Linked DNA regions of Caenorhabditis elegans. The protein of the gene in region 1 interacts with the protein of each later gene in a pairwise test. Each region holds a gene or a part of one and is shown on either strand. Other genes may lie near its edges.

What was found. Proteins that work in one complex are often made in the same cells at the same time.
Region 2: the proteins of tsct-1 (region 1) and sqst-1 interact in a two-hybrid assay, tested with the Caenorhabditis elegans proteins (one large-scale study listed by BioGRID).

The regions. Positions count from the first base shown.
Region 1 is NC_003284.9:12,431,484-12,438,863, reverse strand, and holds the start of tsct-1 (Protein tsct-1), read right to left. Parts: upstream 4,768-7,380; 5' UTR 4,711-4,767; coding exon 4,693-4,710; intron 2,228-4,692; exon of another isoform or gene 2,161-2,227; intron 1,406-2,160; coding exon 1,222-1,405; intron 1,003-1,221; coding exon 834-1,002; intron 1-833.
Region 2 is NC_003282.8:12,031,430-12,038,847, reverse strand, and holds sqst-1 (ZZ-type domain-containing protein), read right to left. Parts: upstream 4,567-7,418; coding exon 4,398-4,566; intron 4,089-4,397; coding exon 2,284-4,088; intron 2,236-2,283; coding exon 2,128-2,235; 3' UTR 1,957-2,127; downstream 1-1,956. Other genes in the region: mrpl-51 (Large ribosomal subunit protein mL51), read right to left, coding at 6,822-6,923, 6,976-7,340, 7,389-7,418.

The DNA of each region.
Region 1 (7,380 bases):
CATATTAGAGGAAATATGGTAAAATTAAAAAACAAATTTTATCTGATGGACAAAACAACTCATAACTTTTCTTAATAATAAGGTGCAAAATATAGCAAAAAGATGAAACTGAGTGAAAAAAACTGCTACTTTTCTTTTCATCTCCTCATCGCTCTTCGTTCCAACCCAAACAACTGGCATGTTCGTTTCAGTTGTTTTCTCTTTTTTCTACTCTCAGAATATATATCAGGAAGGAAATGTGTGGTCCCTTCCCGCTTTTAGCAGAAACAAAAATAAAAAACACAAACAAAGTACTTAAGCCGAAAAAATGACGTGCTGGAGTCATTTTCAAATTAAAAATTACGCTTACTTACATGAACATAACTGCAAAGGTAATCGGAAGAAATCGATATGACAGGAGGATAATACGGAGCGATTTGAAGAATGGGTAATTGCGTTTTTGACGTGTTTTTAAGGTCAATGTGTCTGATAGGGTATTTGAGAAGTAATGTGTTTACGACAAGGTGAAAAAGTAATAAAACCCCTTCAGTTTATTTCACTTCAAAGAAAAGAGAATTTCACTTTAAAAATCAGTGTTGCGAAAATAATAAAAATTCTAAATGCCTTTTAGTTACGCAAAAAAAGAAACGAAAGCAAAGAGTTCGTCTGAAACTCGATATTTTTTGGGTATTATTTTTTACTTGAAAGCCGCCCGCTTTTCAACGCCTTGCCAATTCTCCAGAGACTTTTCTAGCCACCTTTCAAAGTCTACTGACGCGCGCGCGCATTATCTCACGTGATTGCTTTGGATATTAAGATTTTAAATCTGGGTTTATTTATGTGAGATCACTCACCGCGGCTGACTTTTTTGTAGCACACGAATGCTGTCCGCCTCTTCTGCTCCGAGAATTGGAGCAGAGGTGACTGTTGTCGGCCGAGGGAATTTCTTTCGGACGGTGATCACATTGTTTTTGCTTGTTACGATCATCTTGTACTCGTCTTCTGGAGGATAATTTCCAAATTCTGAAAAAAATAAATTGTGTTTATTGTCCAGTTTATTTTTTTTTAATCAATAATTTTGAAAAAAGATTTTCACTGGTACTTCAACAACCTCAAACATTTTTTTAAAAACACGTACTAAAACACGTACTTCTATGCTCGGAATTTTGAACTGGTATCTAATAAATTTATTGATTTTCTTCTAAATTGATAAATTATTCGTTTTCAAGTAGTTAAACTAACCTCCCATTGCCGACCCAAATCTGGTATCAATCACTTTCCATCTGCCACGTGTAAACTCTCCTGGAACCGGAACAACTTGGAATTTCTTCTTCGGCTTGTCACAGTTTGCATTTGGAGGAACGACCTCAATCACAGATGCTTCATTGGAAGTAGTACTCATTATTATTGTGTTCTGTTGGAAAGCCTGAAAAGTTGAAAAAATAAGTAATAAATAGACAATAAAACATTTTAGCATTTTAGAAGTAGTGTATAAAACAAGAAAATCTGTACTTTCACAAACAAGAATTAAAATATACATTTGTTCTACTAAAGATAAATTGAAACTTTTAGATTTTTGGTAAAATTATGATGACTTATAACAGATTCAAATACTTTTTTTCAATTAACAGTAAGATTAACGGTTTTTAGTCGTTTGGACACATAGTTAATCAAGAAAAATTTGCATATATTTGAAAAGCGTATAATTACATCTTTGTACACATCGTTTAACTAATGCCATTAGAACCTATGAAATTAAAAAAAGTTGATGACTAATTAGCAAAATTTGATAACATTTTTGCGCCGTGGACAAGACAGATATGAACAAAAGTTACAACGATTTGACCAAAATAGATTTGAATTAATGTATTTTGGGAAACAAAACGTACGACATTTTTATATTAAAAAAAACATCTTTCGCCTTTAATTTGGTTAGGTGAGCAAATTAAAAATTGTTTTGAAGAAAAATGGCAAAGATAAGTTTCAAAAAATATGCTGGATTTTTTATCGCATTAAAAATCACAATCGTTGACTGATTACACTCAAGAACCCTTATTCGAAATTTCTGTTTCAAATTTGAACAAAAAACGAAAAGATAAATTGGTCGCAACATGCAGCAAATGATTGATGAACTGCTGTGGGAGACATGAATTGACACGTAATTTCAATTTTCTCGAAAAAGTGCTCGCGGTGCTGAGGAACAGCTGTACTTGCTCAAGTGTGATGGCAAGTGTGTCAAGTAAATAGACACGACGGCGCAACTTTTGGCACGGAAACTTTGGAGTTTTTTTTCTGTTTTTTTGTGTTACTTTGTCATCTGAGTAAACCCATGAGACTTTGTTTTTTTTTCAGGAAAGAAAGGAACGCTTAGTTTCTCTCTCTCTCTAAATGGTGCAGACAGTTATTGAATCATATTTTTTTAATAGTTTGAGAACGCTGTAATTGGAAAAGGAATTTATGAAAGTTTGAAGTACATCAAGGACAACTAACAACAGTTCAAGAAAGCCCAATAACTTTATGAAAGCACAGTGCAAAATCTGCAAGAACTTTTGTGACGACATATTTTCTTAACTTAAAAAAGCATTTATTTTTCAAGTTTTCCGCTTTGTGAAAAATTGTTGAAAACTGTTTTTTTTAATTTCAATGGCAGTGCTTTTTCTACTAGTTTGGAAGGAAAAAAAGAGAAAGCCAATTTTCGTAACTAGAAAAATGAAAAACTTGGTAGCTTTTCATACCTTTTTTCAAATTCTTAGAGCTTAAAACTCAAGTCTTACAAATAATCCTACATAAACCTTTGCCAAAAAAGCTAACGTTCAATGAATATGCAACAAGAAGTCAGCTTTTTGCAAGAAGAAAAAAAAATAGATGAGCTAAGAAAAACGCGTATTTTCTCTAACAAAGCCACCTAGACATGGCGCAATAACGTCTATTTCAGATACAAATAATACGAGATTATGACTGTGACATTCCAGTGAATTGTAAGATTTCTGAGATTATATTTGAAGTCATTGTCAAAAAGAAAAATATATAATTCTTCTGAATTATTATTTCAGAGAGAAAGATTTTGAGGGAGTTTTAAACAAGACACTGCGATTTCTCGTTTTCAGTCACTAGAAATGTCACAGTTTATAAGAGCAAAATAGAAAACGAATGAAAAATTGAATGCTGTACATTTCTCTTGCTCTATACTGGCTGCTACCCCACTTTTTCAATCACACTGTACGCTTCTCTGTGTGCCCAGACAAAACCATTGAAAACTACTGCTCTGCATAGCCCGCAAAGCAGGAAAGCTATTTTTCAATCGCAAATAAAACGAAAAAAGCGCATGGGAGCGCGAGATAGAATGCAATCTTTTTTTGAAACTTCGATTCTGTAGTAATTATGCAAGTTGTGGTTGCAACAATGGTGCTCACAAAAGAGTTGCGAAGAGTAAATATGAAAAGGGCACATGAATAGCGATCAAATCAAATGACGAACTGATAAAAAAGATAATATGTAGTTGTCATGTGTACTCTTGAGCGAACGTGCAAAAGAAAATTGGACACATAACATTCTGAACTGGAGTTTGAAGGCGGAGAAGATCCAAAAAGGAAATTGTTTTTGAACAAATTAGCTTTGAAGCTTTCTCTATTATTCTTGCATGCAAGACTAATTTTCAATTGGTCCGTAGGGATGTAAGACTAGGCCTGTGGAGTGGGTCGCCCCATTTTTTGGGTCGGTCGGGTCGGGGTAGGAGTCGGAAATTCTAATATCATGAGAGTGGTTTTGTATCATTTGGCTCTATATGCTCTCCTCATTTTTCAAACAGAAGTTCAATTTAAATGTTACGCTTGGAAAAGAGCAGCACACCACACTTTTGGCTCATTGTTGATTGGTGTTTTTCATCGCGTAAAAACTGGAAATTTAATTGAATACTTTTGGCACTCGTATTCGGAGGGTCTCATTGACCTTTAACTTTGTTTTCTGCAAAAGTCTCACAATGTAGGTGTTTCAAATTACGTTGCATTTGATTTTTTAACGACATGAAAAAATTTCAAGATTATACTTGAAATTTATGTGTTCAAAAATGTTACTAGAATAAATTATTTTCAATTTTTGAAAGAAAATGTTCCACATTCTTTATACATATCTTTGTACATATGGCAACTAAACGTTTGCGAAATTCCTAACATTGAACAAGACAAATTATTTTCAAATTAAATTGATATGCTGTTGAAGGAAAAATACGTAAAAATAAGAAATTCTAATTTTAGTTATTGTTTATTCTTATATTTTATGAACGCAAAAAGCACTTGATTAAACAACAGAAATCAAAAAGTTAAAAAGAAAAGTTGCTGTTCAGACTGACGGGGGTACGGATAATTCATGCAAATCGGTGTCATTCTAAAAATCGATATGTGGAATTGAATCAGAAAGGAAATCGTCGAAAAAATTACAGTTGACTCACGATTTCTGTATTTTAGAGTTTGTTTCGCGGCAGTCACGCGTTTTACATTGGCGACGGTGAAGAAGCAAAACGAAAGGACAACAAAATTGCGTAGAGTTTCTCTTTCTCAACCAACCATCAAAAACGTTTAGATTTGGAAAACGTGCTGGAGATAAACAAAACACATACATAAACACGAGGTCATTGACAACGAAGAGCCGGTTGTTTGATCAGGCAGATCATAAGGAGACAAGGTCATGTGGTTTATCTTAAAAATGAACACTTACTGCGGCAAAGATGAACATTCTCAGTGACAGGATCCCTTGCTGCGGTCTCTTTTAGCTGTAACTACCCTGAAACTTTAAGTTATTTGTATCTTGTAAAACCAACGTTATTGACAATAGAGAGCAAAAAAAGTTGTGAAGATATAAACGCAAACCATAAGAAGGAGTAACGGTTCTGCTTTTTATTTGAGTAAAAAATTTTAAAAATTGAGGTTCCGCAGGAATCTTAAATTTAGGCCACTTGTCCGCGGAGCGACTGGAAAAAATATTATTATTTAATCACAACCTCATTTTGAAATTTTGTGTCGTTTATGAAAAATTCGCTAGTTTAATCTCAATTTCTACAACAGGGTAAAGTTGATAAAATTTTAGAATTTTGCTATATTGAGTATTTTTTTGTTAAACTTTTCAACCGTTAAAAAGAAAAAGAAAAAACACTTTTGTGAAATTTTCAAGAAGTTTCATCCTGAGAACAAATTTGCAAAGTTGAATGCAAAATTTGATTTTTTTTATCACTTTTAAACTTGCGTTGAACTTACGTGAAACTATCTTATATTAATGATTGATTGGTAAATTCACAAAAATTATGCCCCATGTTACAGATCTTGTGAAAATTAATTAATGTGTGAACACATATTTTTAAAGTTCAAGAAGTTTTTTAATTGAAATTGTGAACAAAACCACGTGATGCATTTGCGGACGCACAGAGAAATTTGATATTCACTAGGAACATTAAGTATGTTTATTTTTTCGTTTTTTTGTATGTTTTAAATATTCGCAACAAAAATTTCAATTGTTTTAATTATAACATTTATGATATTTGCAAAGTATTTCATCTGATTAAGAGTAAAAATAATTTCTGTTATTTTCAAATATCATAAATAAGAAAATAAATGAGAATGGCAAGATGAAATATGAGGAAAAACGGGTTTGTTGTAACATAAATAATGCTCATCGCACATGTGCAAATACATAAAATACGTAAACGATGAGATAAAAAAATTGAATTTCTCGAACGTCTCTATGTGTATCTAATCCGATAAACACTAGTTTTAGGGAGTTATGAGGATGTTTTTCGTCTTGTTTTCTATTTTATTTTTAAAGATTTTATTTTTAATTATAATTTTAAAGAATGTCAAAGTGTAGAAAAACCCAATCAACAAATGAGCAGAAAAATTAAATGAGCACTCAATGTCCTTTTTTGGAAGAGAGCAGATGGTAGTTAAAAGCTAAAAAGACGCGGAACCCTTTTTTTCAAATGTGTTCCTCTGTGACGGCTGGCTTTTATGGGTTGAATGAAAGAATGATGGTGTTAGGGTACCACCCGACACAAAACAAAACAGAGCTGTTCTGCAAGATCAAAATGACGTTTTTTCAAAAATATATGCCAATTTTCTTAAAACTAAAAAAGAACAAAACTGATACAAGAATTGAAATTCCCAATGGGGTAAAATTCGAATGGGATGAGAAGAGGAAATGGGCGGAGGAAGGGGGCAAAAACGTTAATGAAATTTTGTTTCAAAGTTTTGTTTGCCCAAGGCTATTTTCTACTTTTTACATTACTTCAAAAATTGTAATTTCAAAACAAAAGTGGACTGGAAAAAATTAAAAAATAAAAATATTCCAATGGCTGCGCTGCAAACAAACAATTGGATGCTTCCAGATTTTCCAAATTTGCTGAAAACAGAATCGACAGGTATTTTGGGCAAATCTTCCTGCACAAATTGGGAATTTAACCTTGGAGCTCAGAGAAAAATGATCTACATGCAAATGTATCTATATATATTATATATATATATATATATATCTAGAGAATTTATCAAAGTATTAATTTGGCAATGTTGAAAATAGGTAGAGAAAAATCACAATCCCAACTATTTTTTTTCGAATATGGGTGTAATTGTTCTTGGTATATATTGAATAACGTTTTACACTTTACAAGTACTATCTCTTACATAAAAAATAAAGGGGAAAATGATTAAGCTACATCAAAAGTTCGAGAAAAAGTAACTAGTGTAACAAGTACGGGCTGTGCAACAAATTATTCGAAAAAAACTGCATTCAACTAAACATATTCGATATTTATACATCACTTTAACAACTTCCTGTCTGTCCTCCAGATTATCTTACTTTGAAGAAAAAAGAGCAGCAGTCTACTAAAACAAAGCGAATGTTAAATAATTGAAAACTGTGTCACACTTCACTCAATGATTCGTGTTCCTTGTATGACACTTTTTATGGGGTAAAGTTTTTGTGATGAACACAGCATGACAAATAACAGATGTATGTACCATGTAGCCAATCCTATAGAAAGCAGACAGAAGGCCAAATGGAAACTAGGGTGACTAGAGAAGGTGTTATAACTTTATGCGAAACAATGAATCAGAATTCAGTGACGAGTGCAAACCAACTGATTTAATATTCTATTTTTGGGTTGATTGTGACAATAAACACGGAAAAATTGGAGAGAAATTTTAAAAATAGTAAGCATCATTTTCCGACTCAGAATGCAACATTTCTAGTGGGTGACAATCGCATGGTCACAGTACACATCACAGAAAAATTTAAATCTAAATTATTGAAAAACAAACATCTAATACAAGAATTATAGTGCAGCTCAAAAAGTTCTTCGAAAAACAAAACTCACTAGAAAAGTGAAACCTTTCAAAGCAATGACTGAAGAACACATTT
Region 2 (7,418 bases), on another chromosome or scaffold:
ACTTGAAATGTTAAAATTTTTTGTATGTGTACCTTAAATTTAAATGGAAAGTTTTGGAAATTTGCTCAAAAACCGGCTCAAATATCAAAGAGCAGCGCATGGCACATTTCGATTTTTAGGCAGTTTTCAGTAACTTTTTGAAATTTTCGATGCAAAGTGAAATCATTTTCAGAGAGTACAAGCATTTCTCTATATGTCTATATAAATAAAGTTCCTAAAAAAAGTTTGACACAACATGGAGAAAAGTACAATTCTAAACTAATGTTTCAAAAAAAAAAGGATCGCACAAATCTGTTCATATTTCAAAGATGACAGATGCTATCAAAACAAAATAAAGTAATAATGATTGTATAAACATTTGTTTATTTTGAAACTTAAATACACATTAGTTTCAGAAAAGTTACATACTGTCTTTTGCAATTATTGATTTTTGCTCATAAAAGCAACATTTCTGCTTAGAATTTTCACTATTTCGAGTCCTCTATTAGATTCTGAAAGAATTTTTCAAAAATGTTGGCCCATCTCCAAAATCGTCCTCCTCTCTGAAAAACGAAAGTGGACCTTTGCCTTCCATAAAATGGGCAAAAAAAAATGAAATTGAGCTTTTTGGCCGAAAAAAAATGTTTTTAGAATGCTGAGAACACGTTAAACACGAATATCATGTTTATTTTAAGATCCCGATATTCTGAAAATGTCTGAAATGGATTTAAAAAAGCATAGATTTATTTTTCATTTTCAACGTGAAAGTTTAGTCTCTAAATTTTGAGATTCTTTTGGAATATAAAATCTACACAAAACTTTCACGTTGAAAATGAAAAATAAATCTATGCTTTTTTAAAATCCATTTTAGACATTTTCAGAATATATATATATTCGTGTTTAACGTGTTCTCAGCATTCTAAAAACATTTTTTTCGGCCCAAAAAGATCAATTTCATTTTTTTCCCCACTTTTTGGAAGGCAAAGGTCCACTTTCGTTTTTCAGAGCGGAGGACGATTTTGGAGATGGGCCAACATTTTTGAAAAATTCTTTCAGAATCTAATAGAGGACTCGAAATAGTGAACCTTTTTCAAAATTCTAAGCAGAAATGTTGCTTTTATGAGCAAAAATCAATAATTGCAAAAGACAGTATGTAACTTTTCTGAAACTAATGTGTATTTAAGTTTCAAAATAAACAAATGTTTATACAATCATTATTACTTTATTTTGTTTTGATAGCATATGTCATCTTTGAAATATGGAAGCCAGCAGATGTGTGCGATCATTTTTTTGGCACATTTCCCGAATTGTACTTTTCTCCATGTTGTGTCAAAATTACTTTCTGGAACTTTATATAGACATATAGAGAAATGCTTGTACTCTCTGAAAATGATTTCACTTTGGATCGAAAATTTCAAAAAGTTACTGAAAAACTGCCTAAAAATCGAAATGTGGCATGCGCCGATTTGCACTTTGATATTTGAGCCGGTTTTTGAGCAAATTTTCGAAACTTTCCATCTAAAGTAAAAGTATTTTCAAAATGTACACATATTGTTATTTATTGCTATATAAATTTTTGAAAAAATCTTCGATGCAACGATGAGAAAAATGGGATTTTGTAACTGTACTGAAAAAACGTATTGCTCAAAGCTGTTCGCTTCCATATGCCAAAGATGATAGATGCTTCTAAATGTACGCGGCGACTTGCTGAAAATATTCGAATTGGCTTTTGGAAAATTATCGAAACTTTTTCTGGAAAACGCTTTAACTCTTTTGGTAATGAATGATATTCAACCTGAGAATAGAACTAGTTGATGTTTTGAAGTTTATTTTTCATAGTTTGTTTTGGAAAAGGTTTTTTAAAAAATTATCTGAAATTATTCGAAATGTGATAAAATTCTACAGATGTAAGAAAAATTCAGCCTCCAAGTTTCAGAAAGCAACACCATACTTGAAATAAACCAGCTGACAATAATTTTTCGCCACAACTTTATTAATTTCAGATTATTAAAAAAGCAATTTACGCAAAAGCAACATTTTCAGGTTCAAGACGAGAAAAAATAGATACAGCTTTCCATTGGAATGATGAAAATGACTAATAGTATCTAGGAGAGAGTTGGTTGGGCGACACGATACAGGATGTACAAATTAGTGAAGAAGCGCCTGAAGACACATCTCGAGATTCGATCCATTTGCTCTGATTGCAGCAACAGTGACGTTGTAGGAGAATCCCATCTCAAGGAGACGATCGAATGTCTGAAAATTCGTTAGATTAGGGGATTCATGGACGACATTTAGATTTACCTTTTCAGTTTCCTCATTAAATGGTGGTAGAGATTGCTCTGGCTCTGGGCGAGCTTCTTCTTGAGCTTCTTGAGCTTCCTGGGCTTCAACAGCAACATCAGAGAAGTCGAGTAAGTTATCATCGATGACTTCTAGACGTTGTGCAGCTTCCAAATCTGGGTATCCTCCCCATGATGGACTGAGGCTCTCGAAATCCGAAGAAATGTTCTCGAAAGAAGAGTGAATTGAGATTGGTGCAGTCACCATTGGTGTAACCTCTTCTGGATTTGATTCCACTGGTGGAAGTGGTGGAACGATCAGAGTTTCAACAATTGGTGCAGTTGGAGTAACTGGAACAATTGATGCTGGAGCAGTGACGGCTGGAGTTGCAGAGGTCGTTGAAGCTAACTCTGTGGTGGCTGGTTCGGTATTTGGAGTGGTCGGAGGATCGGCGATTCTAGAGCTCGAACGACCTCTCAACAAAGCTTCCAAGGAGTTTCCGTAAAGATCGTATAGGACAAAGTCAGCAATGTTTTCCTCGGATTTTGATTGAGATTCCTTCACATTAAGCTCAGCAAGTTTCCTCTGTAATTCAGCAGAGCTGGCTTCAGCTCTTTTCTTGGCTTCTTGTTCAAGACGGGCTTGCTCAGCAGCCGCCGCAGCAAGTTGCATTGTGAATAGTCTCTCGGCAGATTTCTTGTAGCAGGACTTCTTCTTAGCCTTCTTGATCTTTGGTCCAGACAAGCTATCTGCTTGCTTCTTCGAAGATTCCTCGCTCTTCTCAGCTTCAGCAGTTTCCGTTCCAAGATATTTCTCCTCACAGTGTCTTTTCAAATTATCCATTTTCTCTTCGAATTTGGTCATTCCTGCTTCCATGGTCGAGCGTTCAATGATCTTTTTATCCATATTGGCCTGTGCACCATCTGCCAAATCCAAGAAGCTTCTGCTCAAAGTACTGAAAGTTTCCTTGAGCAACGCTGCACTATTAATAATGGCTGCACGGGTCTCCTCATTGAAGAATTGTGGTGGTGGTAGAGCAGAAGTTGGAGATGGTGGGATCCGAGGCTCCTGGGCTGGTTTTGGAACTGCTCCATTTCCGATGGTTGGAGATGGAGGGAATGGAACTGGAGTGGAGACTGGTGGAGCTTGAGGCATTGGAGCTGGATTAACTTGATGTGAAGGAACGAGTCTCGTGATAACAGTCTTGTTGATCCCCTTGATAGTTTGTGGTTGTTGGATCTTGTGCTGCATGTAAGTTGGGAAGACATTGTTCGGAGAGTTTGATGTCACATATGATGGGATCATTGTTTTCTTTGGCTCCACAATTCTGATCATTGCATGCTCATAATGTAAAGATTTTCTCTCACACTTCTCGCACAAATCATAATCGGCACATTCGAGACACTTGAACCTATGTCCGATGATGTCACCGAGGCAAGCATCACAAGACGCCGAGTGCTTCACTGGAGGGAATGGCTTCTGAACTTCCTCGACAACAGGTTCTCTTTCCTTTGCATGAAGATCAGCAACCATCGTCTCCAAAGCGCTAACTCTTGAGAGCTCCTTTTGCAACTTCTCCAGCGTCTTCAATGTGAGCTCCTGGTTGTTCTCGATACGCTTCAGCGAGGATCTGCTCTTTGATTCACGATCAGCATCGGAAGCTTTTTTGGCAGTTTCAGTGCTCACTGATGGTAGGGCTGTTGGACGAAGGGGAACAGTTTCCAGGCGAACAAAAAGTTGAGGAGTTCGAGAGAATGTAGTGATTCGAATCTTAGACATAATCTGATCCGAATTGGTGAACTCAAAGATTGGTCCGTTGACATCACCTGAAAATTTGAAGATTTGGAAAAAAGTTACTGTGAGATATCTAGGGAAATTAGAAATCTTAAATATAATCTAATTAAATTGAGTTTTACAAAAATAACGACCTTTTAAATCTAGTTAAACTTTAAATTTAAAAAAATGGTTTGTTTAAAGGCGCACACTCTTCCTCGGAACGTCCATTAAAAATTTCAATCGTGCCGAGACCGGGCACCGTACTTTTTTGTCATAACATAGGTGTGGCATACAAATACTCTATTTGCACAATTGATTCGTCTAGCAAACGGGGCAAAAACAAAAGTATAATATCTTACCGTAGTAGAGACGATAATCAGCCGATGGGAACAGTTCTCTTGCCTTCTCGGAGATCTGTTGAAGAGCCTGATCGTTCTTCAAAATCATGAGAACCGATTGCGGATTGTGACTTGTATAGAAAGTCACACGAACTTGCATTTGGTGAGGAGCGGATGATGCAGCAGCCATCTGAGTAAAATGAGAAGTTATTTGAAAGTGAGTGAAAAGAGAGTGAAAGATAATAGAACAAGTATTGACATTATTGAGTTGCGAGAGTTGCGAAATCGAAAAAAGGAAATTTCGAAATATTATACTTCGAATAATCATCATAATGATTGTATTGTGTAAGAAATTGAAACCATAATTCATTTTTTTGGAGAATAATGCAACAACAAAAAGGAAATGTACTATTTTTGGAACCTTTAAAGATGTTTACGAGATGAACAAAGGGGGCAAGAACGGAGATATGAAAAGAAAAACACTCAAGGCTTCAAAGTTCAAGGTGGTATCTAGATCTAGTAGATCACTTCCAACAAGTTTTTATTATCATTCATCTAAATTTCTTGGAGACTATTTTTGTTAGGATCTAGTTGAACAGATTCTCTAGAACTAAAATATAAACTTTCATTATCATAAGTGACTAATTTCGTGAAGGCGTCAAAAATTTAGTAGCAGTAGAGAGTTGCCTGTAGGCAGGCAAGTAGGTACTGTTGGGCCTACAAGAAAGTTATGTAAAAATGCAATTAAATATTATCCATACGCGAAATGTTGTGATTTTTGCGCCAAAACTACGGTACCCGGTCTCGACACGACAATTTTTTTCAAATTCCAACCGGTACTGTATTCTAAAACTTTTTTCTAAAACAATTCTGTGCTTTTAAATTTCAATTTTTAGTCTTTAAATAAACAAATAAATTGTTAAGGAAAACAATTAAGCAGCAAAAAACGTTTGAAATTACAGTACTCTTTAAAGGCGCATACTTGCTTGTATTTTACAACAAAAAAGCGTGTTGAGACCGGGTACCGTATTTTTGACGGAAAAAATCAGAAAGGATAATACACAGCCTCCTCACGTGGAAATGACCCAACAAGGGGGCTTGCGCGTTTCTCGTGAGCGTTGCAAAATTTTACCACTGAAAAATGATTTCCTTCGGTTTTTGTGGGTTTAAAATCGATTTCATACTTTGAAATTAGGTATCAATTGTAAAGCTAATTCGGGGAAAGGTGGAGAAAAAAGTTTTTTGATTTTGGTTCAAAAATAAAAGCGCTGATATAAAAAGTAAAAACAACTAAAAATTGAGTTTTTCTCATATTTTGTATATTTATCATCATTTTTCTAGTAGAAATTGATGTTTATTTGAAAAGTAATCTTCCACCCAAGCTTATGTTATGAAAAATATAAAGAAAAACAGTAAATTGAAAGTTTTGGTAATTTCTCAATTTTCCACGCGATGCACGAGAAGTGCGCCAACGGACCGATTTCCACTGGAGGAGACTGTGTAATAGTCAAAATGACAAAAAAGAAACGGTTTGCCAAAAAACGAGAATATTCATTGCGAAATTTTGCTAATTTTCGAATATTTGATTCGGTTACACAACCGCAAGAAATTGCTAGTTTTAGATTTTAGAAAAGGAATTTCCTACTTAAATATCGTGTCAAAGCAAGAGTATTCATCTGGAACATTCCACTACCGAGCCTACGAGTGTAAGTGTTGCTATGGGCAAAATGAGGCCGAATGATGCCTCTTCATCTCTGTGTCTCGCATTCTTTCTCGATATTTCTATGCATAAACACATGACCAGCCTCCTCTAGGCCGATTGATTGTCCCTCTGCATAGGGCCCAAGGTGAGACGCAGATTGCAGACGGCTTCGCGAATAGTGTAGGCTGTGAGAAAGAGACGAATGACGAGAAAATACGCACAGCTGAGTGAACGGGGAATCGATGGTTTATCGACCGAAAATGGAACTGTTTTAGGAGTGAAGTGTTGCTTTTTTTTTGAATTTGAGGCGAGATGAACATGTGGTGATGCTATCAATTGATAAGGTACTGATATGCTGCATTTAGTGACTGTACAGCTGATCATTTATATTTGGAGAAGAGAACGAGACTGTATGACGTCATGATGATGAAGAGGGGTTTGTTGTGAAATGGGAAGCTAGAAAGGTCTCTATAATCTAACATCGAAATTGAAACGTGGAATTTTCTGAAATTTGACTCATGACAGTCGCATTTCAGGAAATCTCGATTTTTTCCGAAACGAAAAACACCTGCAACTTCTCAAACTGGACCCCTTCAAAGCAATCTATTACGGACTGGAAGCTTAAACTTTATGATATGCCACGAATGATCTCGATGTTCCCTAAGATTCGAAAATTAATATTAAAAATTCAGATAGTAACAACAAAAATAATTCTACAACAGCTAAAAACAAGCAATATAAATCTAATGGATTTCATCTTTGAATGATCTTCGTGATTTGTCCTTGTAAGTGTAGTCGGGCTCCTCTTCCCATAATCCCAAGTTGCGTTCTCGACCGATCTCATCCTGAAGCAAATAATTTGGATTTAAAAAAAAACATATTAAAAAAAAATCCAACCTGTTTGTTATAATTGTGCTGCATCATTAAATACTTGATTCTCTTTCTTAGCTCGTGCCATCTTTTCGGTGAATTTTGTTTCAATTTAGCATCATACAGATTTCGATAGTGAATAAGTTTGATGAGCTCATTTGCTTTATGTTGTCCTGGGAATCCACGAAGCCAAGTTGGCGTGTGATATTGAAGTTGTGCAGGATGAACTGATCCATCACCGAGAAGATCAATATAGTCGTTTTGACCGAAGCGAGCAGCTTCGTCACTCCATTGATCACGAACTTTGTATGCTGGACGTGCTACTGGGACTTTACAATCAGGAATACGAGGTAGCGGATCTACGCCTTGTTGGTGATAACGGAACGTGTAACCTGAAAATGTGAAAGTTTTTATTTGAAAAAATTAAATATATGTCTCACCGGCATCATTATATTTTGCTGAAGACTTTT